Oryzias latipes: one gene and its partner. The protein of the gene in region 2 binds, or shares a complex with, the protein of the main gene of each other region. Links are inferred from orthologs where the notes say so. Each region holds a gene or a part of one and is shown on either strand. Other genes may lie near its edges.

Region 1 (7,481 bases), on a different chromosome or scaffold from region 2:
AGAGCTAAGAAGGTCTTCCTTCAAGTCAGATTTAAAAAAACATAACAAACAAAAAAACTTGAAAAGAAAATCACTAACAAAAACATTCAACTGTTCTTATGAACATTTTATTAGTAAAATAATCTGCAATCTGGTCAAACATTTTTCTAATAGGCTAGACTAGAAGAAAAAAATGTAGAAATGCAATTTCTCCATATATGACTTGTATATGTGGAATCATTTTGTGTCTGCAAATATCTTGTTCGGGTTTGTTTGTTTATTTCAGGAATCCCCACAAGTCTTCTCCAGAGTAAAGATTATTCCTTCTGCGCTCTATTTTTTTAAATATACACTACTTACTGTTTTACACATAATTAGAACAATCACGATACTACACATATAGAAAACTTCAATCACTTTAACTAACATTCTAAAAGTATGCATGGTTTCAATGCTTTTTATACCTAGAATGGTCTGTAGCCTACACATATTATCTATAACTATCAGGGGGTTGACAATTCTTCTTTCTCTTTCGGCTTTTCGCATCAGGGGTAGCCACAGCGAACAAGTCGCATGGTAAACTTGGCAATGTTTTACGCCGGATGCCCTTCCTGATGCAACCTTCTCAAAGCAACCGGGCTTGGGACCGGCACAGAAGTAGAGAAGGGAACATCAACTTAATTGAATATTAGATTTACAATCCTAAGATTCAACCAAATCGATCTGTCTGAAGTAAGCCATTTATAGAAATAGGTCGACCTATACCGTTATAAAATCATTTCAAAATGAAACAAATCGATTATAATCAATATTGGAAAATACCGTTTCGATTGAGGTACGGTACGTTTATTTTACTATAATGTTAAAACTACCAAGTGCATCACAGCGGACAAAACACGTGATGGCAGCATAAAACTGATCAGTCCGTCATTACTTTGAATTTAGTAAAGACATGACCATACAGTGTGGCAGAATGTTCTGATAATGTTTAATTTGTATTTTTTTGTGGAAAAACAACAGTGGGTTGAACTTTATGAAACTAAAATGGGAATGGATTTGCCATTAACTCTTGTTTACCGGTACTTGTTTGTTTGCACACACATTTAATTTATACTTGATTATTTTGCAAGAGATACAAGGAATGTGGAAAACTTCACCTGCACTGATTAGAACCCAGGTATTTTTCTCTGAGTGGAATTGTTGTTAAAATGAATCCTTACACCCCTGATTACTATCAAGGACTAAGATATCTTATGAAACGTATAATTTACCTGAATGACACGAGTCTTTGAGTCTCTGAGAGCGTTTCCTCGAGGCTTGGAGACAAGTTTGCCTTTGCTTTTACATTCTTTGTCAAAAATTTGAACCGTTTCTTCAAATTCCCCAAACTTCAGGTACTAAAGAGAACAAACACAAAGTGTGTTAATTATACAATCACCATCGTGGAATACATTGAAATGTTAGATCAACTATCAGAATAAACAGATTATGGATTTTAATTGCAGTTTTTTTCTTCACATCCCTATCATGCTTTACCTCTTTAATCATCCCAAGGAGATCGGCTTCAGTTGCCAAGATGTCTCCCATCTTGGCTGTCTTAGTTGAACTCATCCGTGGACCACAGCTGTCAAAATACCGGCCGTCATTTGGGGCTCAGTTTGAAATTCCTTTGCACTTACAAAAAACAGGTAACAGTCTGAACAGACAGAATAGCACAGACAGGCAAAAAGAAAAAGAAAAAAATACTTCAATAATTTCACGTTTTAATGTAAAGATGACCAGTCTTGCTTATTCGAACAAGAGCAAATAATTACAACCTGTATTAACTTGTACGGTTTCAGTTTTCTTTCCGAATTATTATTTGTTTGTTCCAACCGAGGTTACTGTAGTTGTATTCAATTCAATTACATTGTATTTATAGCCCAATATTTACAGCAATAGTCATCTCAATGGGCTTCATTCCGGTAATTGTGTAATAAACATGAATCATAAAGAACATAAAGTCATAGAATTCAATAGCTGATTGCTAAACTAAACAGAAGAAACTAAGTGGACATCCCTGCCCTAAAACTAAGACCATCCTAATGTTACTACTATGATCAAAAAAAAATTATTTTCATCTTTGTATGCATTTTATAGCGGAAAACACGTTAACTATAACGGCAGAGATTTGAAGAGCTGCAAACTGCAGGAAGCTAGTCAATAATTGTTTCAGTCAGGTTTGTTCACATGATGAGCGTTCCTTACCTCGTTTGACCATCTTTTCTTGGTAAGAATCCGCATTAGAAGTTTCATTAAATATTTTATTTATGCTTAAAATGTATATTGGTAATTATTTTTTCGATATAATGACGCTTATGGTAAAAACAACAGCCTTAACATTAGCTAGCAACCGTCCACACAGAGGACGCTAAACGCACCTAGCAACAAGATGACGACAGACGGAAGTTAGTAAAAACTGTCGTAAAATTAGTTCAGTTGTTGGTTACTTAAATTATCAGTTAAATAATTGAGAGAAAACAAATACTTTTATAAAAATCTTTTTTTTATTTGCTACGTAAAATTTAGCCAAAATATTATTCGTTTTTTCCCCATCTTTGACCTATTGTGAGCCTTCAAATAAAACGGTAGGCAAATTTAATTGGTGTTATTTTAGTGATCATTTTTTCTACATTACACCATCGCAACGCATTTTTCCCTTTCTAAAAAATGTATAACATTCAGTAAAGCAAAACATGCGTCTTTCTTTTAAAAGAAAAAAAGAGACAAAAAAACGGAAGTTCTTGTTATGTCAAAGGTCGAACACGCTGGTTCTGCGCGGTACCGACTATTTCGCTTAATAATGAATGAAAATCTATCTAAATCAAATATCTGACGTCTAGGTTACATTATTATCGTTTTTACACGAATTCACCACATTCCAGGGCATACTATTTACACAAAAATACAAGAACAGCACTTGGGGGTAAGTATTATATTTTGTGTGGACAACATGATGCTACAGTTAGCGCGTAAGTGAACATTGTTAAAGTTGTCCAAAGTTGTGACAAGTTTTGTTCACCCACTTTGACACGGTGGGAGAGCTTTGTGATTTCCATTTGTTTTGACCTATTCCTTTTTCTTTTTAACTTGTTTTTAATTAATTATAGTCAAGATCGGGACCAGAACGCTTAGGAGTGACCAGGTTAGACAGGATAAGGAACGAGTACATCAGAGGGACGGCCCATGTTGCCTGTGTTAGCGACAAAGTCAGAGAAGCCAGAATGAGATGGTTTGGACATGTTCAGAGGAGGGATAGTGGATATATTGGTAGAACTAGAAGGATGTTGGAGATGGAGCTGCCTGGCAGGAGGCCAAGAGGACGGTCAAAGAGGAGATATATGGATGTCTTAACAGAGGACATGAAGTTGGCTAATGTTAGGGTAGAAGATGTTCATGATAGAGTGAGGTGGAAAAGGATGATTCGCTGTGGCGACCCCTGATGGGAAAAGCCGAAAGAGAAAGAAAGAAGAAAGAAGAGTCATAGGAATTTCACACTGAAACTGTGAAAAACACAATATAGCACTCACTGCTATAGTGTGTTTTTCTTGATTGACTTGGCTACGTAAAATGCTTTGCTGTGTGACTAACCTTCCCTTTTAATTTTGTTTTATGATGAATCTGTTTTAGGTTTAACAGAAAGGGATAAAGATGGCTGGGATTTTGTTTGAAGATATTTTTGATGTGAAAGACATTGATCCAGATGGCAAGAAATTTGACAGAGGTATGTGGACTGTCACTGTAAAAACACAAAAACGATCTTCACCAGTAGATAGTTTCAGTTGTAAAAGTCATAATTACAATTGTATATTGCATTTTTGTTCATATTGTGTTAAGTGTGACTAAAAAATTGTGTTGTCAGTAATTACAGCTTTTATTTTATTATTTTATTACAGCTAAACATTACAGTCATCACATTACTGAGTTGGGAAACCTTCAATCCTGCTTTTTAGTAGCTTTAAAACTAACACAATAACAAACATAATCATTATATGCATTTGCTTGAAAAAGATGGATATCTAAAAGCGCGTTAGTCAGTTTCATAATGTTTTCAGTTCTCTTTAATATAAACTAATACAGGTTATTATTACTTATACTGCAGTGTCTCGTCTGCATTGTGAAAGTGAATCTTTCAAGATGGACCTGATCTTGGATGTAAATACTCAGATTTATCCTGTTGATCTTGGTAAGAAATTAACAATGTCCTTTATTGTTTATGTCTTGTTTGATCTTAGACATTTGGCCTTTGTGGAGGAATTTTTAAATTGATTATTGGTAGTATTTAGTGAAACTGTCATTCTTCACTCTTGTAAGGTGTTGGTGCAGAATTGATAAGTTATTTTAACTCAGTTTTGACTCAATGTAAAACTATTGTATTAGAAGTGTAGCTTGATCTTAGGTGATTATGTACATTGCTATGATAAATCCAGATTTTTTTTTGCATGTTTCAAAAAGGGGACAAGTTCAGACTGGTGATTGCCAGTACATTATATGAAGATGGAACGCCAGATGATGGAGAGTACAATCCCCAGGATGATCGACCATCTAGGCAAGGCATTTAAAGAAGATAAATGAACATCCATGTCTTTCAATCTGTGGCAGATAATGTGTGATGCTTTTGATTCATCTTCCATTTTTAAATTGTTTCTAGGGCAGCTCAGTTTGACTATGTAATGTATGGAAAGGTCTACAAGATAGAAGGCGATGAGACCTCAACAGAAGCAGCCACGCGTCTGTAAGTTCTACACAAATGCATGTAGATCATTACAATCCTTTATTTAAGTTAAAAGTCAAGTGCTGTCAATTTAGTGATTAGTAAAAATTTAAATAAACTGTATGTATGTGTAAATGTTGATCAAGTCCTCTAATGATGTGCTTGTTCTTTCAGCTCAGCCTATGTGTCTTATGGAGGCCTTCTCATGAGGCTGCAGGGAGATGCCAACAATCTACACGGCTTTGAGGTAGACTCCAGAGTCTATCTCCTCATGAAGAAGCTGGCCTTTTAACCCCCCTCCTCTGTTTTCTACCGCCTTCATCCACCTTTGTAAAACTGGGATCTAGAAAAGTGGAACATATGAACATCTTAGAGACAAAACACCATGTTTTTGTAAACCTCTGTTGTATTTTTTATAGTTCCTCCAACAAACTACACTGAGGTCTGTGATTTCCACTTGGTGGTACACTGTAAATAAATATTTCTTTCTTTTATACAAAACAATTACAAGTGTTGATTAACTTCATTTTATAGCGATGAATACTCTTCAACAGTGTTGCAGAACGCAGCAAAATGAAACCTGGAGACAGAAAATTGAATTATAGGGAAATAAGCGGCTTTTGTGCGCCAAACAGGACACTTAAAGACTGTTATAACAAATGTCACAAGATGGGAATCACTCTGACTCACTGAATACTGGTATGTGCACACAAAGCTTTAAACACAAACAGAATGGATTCATGTTGTAAAATAAAGTTTTGCCCTTTGTGGTACTGACATGTATTTTAGCATAAAGTCTGGATTTGGGCTTTATGTAGTTATCCAGCTGATATGTGATCAGTTGCATCTCATGATATGTATGACTTGTCTAAAAATTTCAATGCTTTTGCTAGTAGAACAGTTTAAAATCTTCATCTCTTACTTCCATTTTAGTTTTGTCTGCCTTGTTTCAGCAATGACATTTTCAGCTGCATTCTGCTGCTTATGGTTCACTTCAGATTGCCTGAGCCAAAAATCTATTTTTTTTCTATTAGTACAGCTCATAAAAATTGACATGCCATCAGTGAAGACCTTAAATGCAAATAATGAGAAGTTTCCATTTTTCCAACCAGCCTGACCTTGAGTCAATTTCATGAAGGGTTTATTATATTTAATTGAAGACTATTTTATTGGATTAGTCATGCAGTAAGAACAACACGGGAATACATGCTCCATACAGACAAAACATAAATGACATTCCTTCATTTTGAAGTTTCTTTATTTTTCTAAAATAAATTATAATTCAAATGAGAATCTGGAAACCGGAGAGGATCCCACTTTTTGAAAAGTACCTTTTTACTCAGGCACTGAACAGAGGATGCAGTGGAATCTTGGATGATGAGGTTTATAGTTGTCACCAAACTTTGACTCATGTTTATTTTAATGTTTCATCCAGTTGAACAGTTGACTCCTGATGATCATGAAATGCTGTGAGGAGAGACAGCAGCTTCATTTTGCTAACCAACTCTTAGGGCAGCAGGAACACGATTGAGGTTTAAAAGGTTCTGATATTGCTTCTGCATTTTGATTTGGACTCAGATAAATGAGGAGTCATTGTAATACATTTTAACTTGATCTAATCTTTGCTTAAAAAAAATCCCTTTTGCTATTGAGGATTTGTTATTTTGTCTGGTTTTATAAATATCTGACAGAAAAATTGCTGTTACATATCCTTCATGGTAAAATCTGAAGTTTAGTTGACTTTTTTTTATCATGCAAGCTTAAATAAATGTGAAAACAGGGTAGTTCTATCATGATCCCTGACAGCATTTTGTTAGACTTTACTGCAGGTGGTTACATGACATCATAACAAATGGTTAGGCTCTAATCAACTTTTCCTTTTTTTTGTATCTGTTAAGGCATCTAATTAGTTTAAAAAAAATGTCGGTGACGAAATTGATCTAAATTGGGAACTGGCTCTGAAATCAGTGCAAAGCGCGCTCCCGAGACAAGACTACTCCTTTCCAGGAGTTCGTTCCTGCACAACACCGGAAAAGACGGTGGCCATGGAGGGGCATGTCGAATTGTTTTCTTACGAAAAAGCGTTGCTGGACTTTGATTGACCGTATGTGAAGGATCTTCGGGCTCCTCTTTGGTCTTAGAATCGCCCCAGGCATTGCTAAAATATCGTATTTAAATCGTGGAGGAAAATGCTGATGTATTTTGAGCTTTTCTCAGATGAATAGCCAGGTTTAGCATCTTCCCCAGCTTTAATTGGAAGCCTCGCTCTGTGGATTAGCTCAGCTGTTTGTCAAAGCATGAGGAGCGCGTTCAGAGAAATGATAGAGACGGGAGAATAGCAGACCACACCAGCAAGATGGATAATCGCCGTAAGAGGAAACTGACATTCGCTACTATTGGACTCATTTTTCTTCTTAGCGGTGTGGAATATGGTAAGACCCCTTTCTGTCTTTCTGACGCTCTTTATTATGGACAGACGGGTGATAAGGATTTAGTTATTAGTTATCGTAAACAGTGTTTTTCAACCTTTTTTGAGCCAAGGCGCACGTTATCCTGGACAAAAGTCCCGCGGTACTCCAGCATCCAAAAATTAAAAAAGGAGAAACTCTAGTCTGTATTGATTTATAGTCCACCCACAATCTCACGTGAATTTTTGTGATAATTGTGGTAGAAAAAGCTGGAAGTTGCAGCTGTTTTTGTTAGTTTTCAGTAATTGTAACTTAATTATTTGACATTTTACCCTGGTAGT
Region 2 (6,733 bases):
GAATAAAAGTTACCTACCACATCTGTATTTTATAAACATAAGTTTCAAATCCACCAAATGCCAAGATTGAACTTTACATTCTCATAAAAAAGCAATACCTAACCTCCTTGACATTTTACTTTTATTATAAAATTTTACATTATATATAATCAGGGCTCTAGATTACCACCTGCCCAGAAAACCAATTTGACTAACCACTTAAAAAGGTGAGGCATTGTTCTGCATCTCTGACAGGGTGGGTCAAAGTCACAACTATGACTTTTAAGTCTCTGCCTCACTCCACACTTAGCTTCAACAAACACCCATCTCAAATTGGTTCAAACATTTAATTCTGACTTTTTTTGCGCAGAGTTAAGTCACATGAGCCGCAACACAAATGACCATGACTAGAAATAAACATTAGAAATTTGGTGCTTTAAAGAAAGGAATGTGTTTATAAAAAGGTTCAGAGATCAGAAGTGTCTTTTGTTAAGATTCAGATTCAGATTCAGAGGGATTTTTATTGCCATGTCAGTGAACGGAACACAACAGTTTCACAGACTAGGAATTTGCTGCAGTGCCAATGTGTCACATACAACACTTAAGAATAATAATAAAATAAACAGTAATGAGCCAAAAACATAGACACAGTGATCAGAACAAGTAAAAAGAAATACAATAGTGCAACAGAGGTGCATTACATTTCGGTATATTATACAACCTGACATAAGAATACACTTTTAATTAGTGTTTTCAAGAGAAAATTATCATCAACTGAAACTTTATAAAAAATGGAATAAATGTGTTTCTTTCAAATACATAACTTATTTTTCCAGAGAAATGTTTGGCTAGTAGAAATCTAACTTGGCTGGTAGACTAGTTACTGGGGACCCCATCTAGTAACCAAAAAAGGTCATTTAGGGCCATGATATATAATAAAATTAAGGATAGTCTGAATATTTACCACAGGGTGATCTCATCTGCTTTGTGTTGGCCCTTTCTCTGCAGAGAGCTCCCCTTGCTGGCTAAGAACTATGTGATGCGGATGCTGTTTTTGGAGCAGCCCCTCCCTCAAGCAGCTGTCGCCCTGTGGGTGAGGAAGGATGGACAGAGGTGAGGCTCCCATGTTCTCCCTGATCTACAATTTTGAACGGTCAGGAGCACAAAAGCTGCTTTTAGGAAGCTGCTGTTGCAGCGCCTCCTGCTGGCGCTTTAAGTGCTCAGCAGCCATCACTGCTGTGGTTCAACGAGAGCAAACTGAGCAAACCGACAGAACCAGGGGGATATTCCAGGAAGCATGTTTAAACTAGCCAGACTTTAAGCCTGAACTCTGGCTGAAATCCGCCTAAACTTGCTTACTCTGGGTATGTCGGTTCCAAAAGACCGGATATGAGTAAGTGTAATTACGCTCGACTTGGTAACCCTGGGTTAATGCTCGTGCACAGGAGGTACATAAAGACATTCTCAATAGATGGCCGATTTCTGGAGTCACCATGGAAACGCGTGGAGAAAAAAAAAGCGGTACACTTGAGACGGAAGTGAGACGGAGTCTGAGATTTTAATGACGGCGGATAGAAATTATAAGTCCATCAAAAAAGTAACACGGCTGCATCAGCAAAAAAAAGAGTTTCTGCTTGGAGAAAAATAACAAAGTTTCTGATCTTGTTTCCATTTTCCTTGTGACGCATATTTATATATAATCTTAAATAAATTTCTTCTATTAGTAACAAATAAATTAGTTAAATGTATTCAACCTAATTTCTTGCGTCTATAAAACTCAATAATTGTTTATACAACTCAATTTTTACGTATTCATCTAGCTAAATATCACATTACTCCATTAATCTTTTTTCAATCTTAATTACTTATATTTCTTGAACTTTCATATGTCTAAGTTTGAGCCGGCAGATATGCTCATTTTTATAACAATAAAAAGGACGGAAAAAAATACACGGAGTGCAAAAGTCCAATAAAGAATTTTCCATCATTGTCATTACAAGCGTGAGTCGTAGGGGTGCTATATAAACTCATCATCCTCTCCCTCCCTCTCACTCATGGTGCAGAGACGTAAGCAGAGTAGGACAAAATAACTCGGCAAAACAGAGTAAAATAGTTAGACAACTAAACACATTCTGTCAAAAACCCACACTTAAACCCAAATCCGTCCAGACAGGCAAAGGGAATGATATCCCAGAATACCTTGCGGTGCTGATCTAACGGCAGCACCAAAGTTACACCTACTTAATTGAATTAATTTGAATGAAAGGAAAATAATTGTTTGAAAACTACGTGTTATTTTTATGGTGACCTAACAAAAAACGATTTATCTTAACTGAAGCAAATAATTAAGTTAGATCAAAGTAAAAATGTTTCTCTTTCCAACATCCATATGTGGTCTTATCATCCTCTCATGGTGGAAAAAGTATTATCTGAGCTTCTTCATCCACTAAATCATCTTCAAATGGACACGTCATGCTGCTTCACCTCTCTGTAAACAAACTAACCTTCAACTAAACCTGCTCCAGACCAGGTTATGTTCAGAGCATGAGTTGCCATGGCAACTTGACCTACCCTGAAACATACCTCCATTTCTGGAACCGAAAGCTGAGGTTATCAACTTCCTTAGCCTCAAACTTATCGTGGGAGCTAGCATAACCTGCTTTCTGGAATACCCCCCAGAGAAAACTCCTCTAGAGATAGACTTATTATTTATAACAAAGAAAGCCTGAAACTTCGGTGCTGTTTCAGGGTTTTTATTGAGCGTTTCTTGGTTTTCTCTTCTGCTGCTGCTTGTGCCGAGGCTGATTGTGTGCTAAAGCCTGGATCTGACGGTGCAGCTGCTAAGTTTGGCTTCTTTTTTCAGGGATCATGACGAATGTGTCTCGGTTCTGACGGGCCTCCGTTTGTGGCACAGTCAGCAGCTGCAGGGGGGTCTGCAGGGATACATCCTGAATCCAGTCTTCAAAGATAACCTGAGGATAGCTCTTCTGGGCGGGTGCGTTCCCCTCACCGCCCTCCACGCTGTCGGAATGAGATCAGCGTGGTCAACAAATCGGAAAGAAAAAATGAACGTTGGCACGTGTTGTGACTTTTTTGTGCATCGCCCACAGGGGTAAGGTATGGGCAGATGAGGGCATCATTCTGGGCCCTGACCGTCATGCCAGGGACATCGAGAGCCTCGACCGCTATGCCATGGAGCGCTGGGAGGTCATTCTGCAGTTCATGGTGGGTTCTCCCAGCGCCGTCAGCCAGGACTTGGCCCAGCTGTTGGTCCAGGCGGGCCTCATGAAAAGGTACAGAGTCGTTTCTTAGCCGCCTTCCCACCAGGGTCTTCCTCATCTAATACGCCACACTTTATAATGTGCTGCCATCGAATGCACATCTCCTCTGCAGCTGATGAGACGCACTGAAGCTGAATACATTTAGAAATGTCAATTTTAGACCAAATAACAAATTACTCAGAGAAGAAAACAAACCTAGATATTAAAAAACAAAAAGAGAAATAAACAGAAGAACCTCTCCAGTTCACCAAACCTGGTCAAAACCTTTAGGATTTAATTTCTTAAGGGTGTGGATTTTGGTGCTTTTGCAGAGAAGTCACTGATGTGTGTTCATGCCTTTATGTGGCTCTGATGTGACCATAAAAACAGAAAAATGCTATTGTTTTTGCAGGATTTTGGTTTTAGGGAGGAATTTGTGGAAAAATCAGCTTTGTATCTCCTCTTAGATATGTCAGTTGTGTCATGTCAGCATATTAGACCTGATTGTTGGCAGAGGCTGTGGTTTCTGCTAAATCTGGAGTTAAAAACGGGAAAAAGGTAATGAAAGTAAAGGAGATGGGATCACAGCAAAGACTGCATTCACTGACATACTGCAGAACAAGAGGAAGATTTACAGGAAACCTGTGTGTAGGTCTCATTTTTTACCTGCCTCATTTTCTCCTAATTGGCAGCGAGGCTGGGGAGGCACCATACATCACCTCAGCTGGGTTCCAGTTCCTGCTGCTGGACACCGCCTCTCAGCTGTGGTACCTCACCCTGCAGTACCTGAACACTGCTCAGGTACTTTGACTAGATAAGTAATGTTTTTGTAATGTAAATAATTGATTTTAAAAATCGACACCCCCCTACTCCCATACCTCCCTCCCCTAGAGCCCATGGAGGTAAACATTATACATCCGGCTGAGCACGGAAAGCCAAACTAAGTCAGTGGGTGGACATGCTAATAGTTGAAACCTCCTTCTCCTCTGAGAGTTGATGCACAGCCAGTGGAGTGCAGCATCCCAGGGGGGAAACCCAGTGTCCCCCACGAAAAGGTGGTGATCCAGGTAGATTTACAGCAGCCGACTCCAAGGGAGACGATCCAACTGTGGAAGCACTGCAAATAACAGTGATGGGGAAAAAAATAGATGAAAAACTAAATGCAGTACAGAAACAAACACTGAGGCAAAAGATGGAAAGTGCAGCTTTCTATCTAAAGCAGTTAAAATGAAGGGGAGAGGAGGAGGGAACTACATTCACCATTTAGGTCTGTAGGCACAGTTCCCATTTATAGTTTGTACATTTTTGGGTGGAAGTTCCCAATGTTGTGGTTGATCTTAGATTCAAGTGTGAAGGGAACAGAGCTGAAGTTAAATGTAACACAGTTTTAGATATTACGGCATAGAAGGCGTCTGTTTCACAGAAGAAGAACCAGATGCTTAAAAGGTCTGCCTCCTGTATTCTCTGGAGCTGTTTATGTGCAAAAATGATTGCAGTGAAACAAGTGTATTTTTTTTTAAGTTGGGACATGATGGCACTTGTTCTGTGTTTTTCAGTCTCGGGGAATGGAGCTTGTGGAGATTTTGTCCTTCTTGTTCCAGCTCAGCTTCTCCACGCTTGGCAGAGTGAGTGCAGCACAGTCGGCGCGTGGAGACATGAACGTTAGCAGCGTTACAGCCATGTGTCTTGTTGTGTGTTTGTCAGGATTACTCGGTGGAAGGCATGAGCGAGTCTCTACTCACGTTTTTGCAGCATCTGCGTGAGTTTGGACTGGTCTTCCAGAGGAAGGTAAGGCCACATAAAACCCCTACCACCCTCCTTTAGAAGAAATGCTCCTTTATTGGTAAAGTAGCAGTTCTGACATGACGGTTGGATTCTGTGTCGTCAGAGGAAGTCCCGGCGCTATTACCCCACCAGACTGGCCATCACACTGGCAGCTGGAGTCTCCAGCAACTCCCCCTCCAACATGACGAACACTCCCGGAACTGGAGACGCGGGGTTTATCGTTGTGGAAACCAATTATCGGATCTACGCGTACACAAGTACTTAAAACTGAATTGCTCTGTGCTGAATGAATAGGATGAGGATTAGGGGTAACCGATCTGAGGGGAAGGATGGTAGGAAACTAAAAACTTTGGGGAGGCAAAATCAACTAAGTAAAAGGTTTATTTTATTAATGCTACCAGAAATACATCCTTCCAATCAAAAATTAAGTATCTCAAATGGCAGCTCAAACATAGAGAAATTTTGTACAAATGATGTTGTCCTAAGTCAAAGTTGCAGAGAAGGCTCTTTAGCACACTTGTGACCATTAGTCTTTACGTGATCAGCTCAGCCCTGCGCTCATGCGGGCTTCCCGTCCTTTCTGTCGACTCGCGACCCTTAAGTTCTGACCCAATTCTGTTCCCCGCTCAGATTCCGAACTCCAAATTGCTCTGGTGGCCCTCTTCAGTGAGATGCTCTACCGCTTCCCCAACGTGGTCGTAGCTCATCTGACGAGGGAGTCGGTGCAGCAGGCGATCGCCAATGGCATCACAGCACAGCAGGTAACGGCGAGAAGCAGGGCGTAAAAACCTGCCGTCTACAGGTCTGAAAGCTAGTACTTGATTCAAACGGTTTGGACTGTGACTTAGTTTGACTTACTTCACATAACGCAGTGTTTTTCAACCTTTTCTGAGCCACGGCACACTTTAACCTTAAAAAAAATCCCGCGGCACACCAGCAACCAAAAAAAAAAAAAAAGAGAAACTCATAGGTCTGTATTGATCTACAGTCCCTCCACAATCTCACATGCATTTTTGAGAAAATTGTGTCAGAAATAGCTGGAAACTGCAGCTGTTTTTTTTCTAAAAAATGCAATAAAAGTTAAGTTAGAAGATTTAAAAACAGATTGATGTGTGTTCGTTGTTTCAAGACGTTTAACAACAAATCTCCTTGTGCGCTGTCAATCTCATGACCCAATGCATCATGGGAGATGTAGTGCATAAAACGGCTGGAGATCGGTTTTCGGAGCTTCATTGTTTTGTTCACTTGTTCCACGGTCTGATACCGGATTCTGTGCAAAGCTACACAGCTAAAGACGAGCTTTAGCTTGTATTTTAGTTAGAACTGAGCGACTTTACGAGCTAAATCGGGACAAGGAAGTGAAGACTTTAACCACTTCTGATTGGTCAGACTGATGACATGTGATTAAGCTCCCCAAGAATGATTGGTGGAGACAGTCAAAGGGACGGGACTTTTCCCAAATACAGCCGAAGGTGCAGCTGAATCGCGGTACTGTACCGTCATTCTTATCAAAATGTCTTTAATAAAATAAAATAAACGCAAAGAAAATGTATTTTACATCTTTTATATTCCTAACTACTCAGTGTTTTATCAGGGCCTGTTTGGATGAACACTGGATGACTGTTTGGATGAACACTCCTGGAGATGGGAAATGTTTTTAGATCAGTTAATGAGGACAATTTCCCACGGCACACTTGACCATCTCCCAC

The links.
Region 1: gtf2h4 (region 2) and polr2h share a complex: the UniProt entries of both Homo sapiens proteins name them as parts of the TBP-based Pol II pre-initiation complex. The link is inferred for Oryzias latipes from reciprocal best matches to the Homo sapiens genes GTF2H4 and POLR2H.

What each region holds. Positions count from the first base shown.
Region 1 is NC_019862.2:11,776,058-11,783,538, forward strand, and holds polr2h (DNA-directed RNA polymerases I, II, and III subunit RPABC3), read left to right. Parts: upstream 1-2,455; 5' UTR 2,456-2,606; intron 2,607-2,753; exon of another isoform or gene 2,754-2,944; intron 2,945-3,648; 5' UTR 3,649-3,669; coding exon 3,670-3,742; intron 3,743-4,120; coding exon 4,121-4,204; intron 4,205-4,473; coding exon 4,474-4,567; intron 4,568-4,669; coding exon 4,670-4,753; intron 4,754-4,906; coding exon 4,907-5,024; 3' UTR 5,025-5,519; downstream 5,520-7,481. Other genes in the region: lisH domain-containing protein ARMC9, read right to left, coding at 1-18, 1,251-1,376, 1,516-1,590; major facilitator superfamily domain-containing protein 8, read left to right, coding at 7,089-7,164. UniProt on the Homo sapiens protein: DNA-dependent RNA polymerase catalyzes the transcription of DNA into RNA using the four ribonucleoside triphosphates as substrates.
Region 2 is NC_019869.2:21,555,238-21,561,970, forward strand, and holds part of gtf2h4 (general transcription factor IIH subunit 4), read left to right. Parts: intron 1-987; coding exon 988-1,092; intron 1,093-2,842; coding exon 2,843-2,974; intron 2,975-3,089; coding exon 3,090-3,272; intron 3,273-3,931; coding exon 3,932-4,040; intron 4,041-4,795; coding exon 4,796-4,864; intron 4,865-4,943; coding exon 4,944-5,027; intron 5,028-5,127; coding exon 5,128-5,281; intron 5,282-5,654; coding exon 5,655-5,785; intron 5,786-6,733. UniProt on the Homo sapiens protein: Component of the general transcription and DNA repair factor IIH (TFIIH) core complex, which is involved in general and transcription-coupled nucleotide excision repair (NER) of damaged DNA and, when complexed to CAK, in RNA transcription by RNA polymerase II.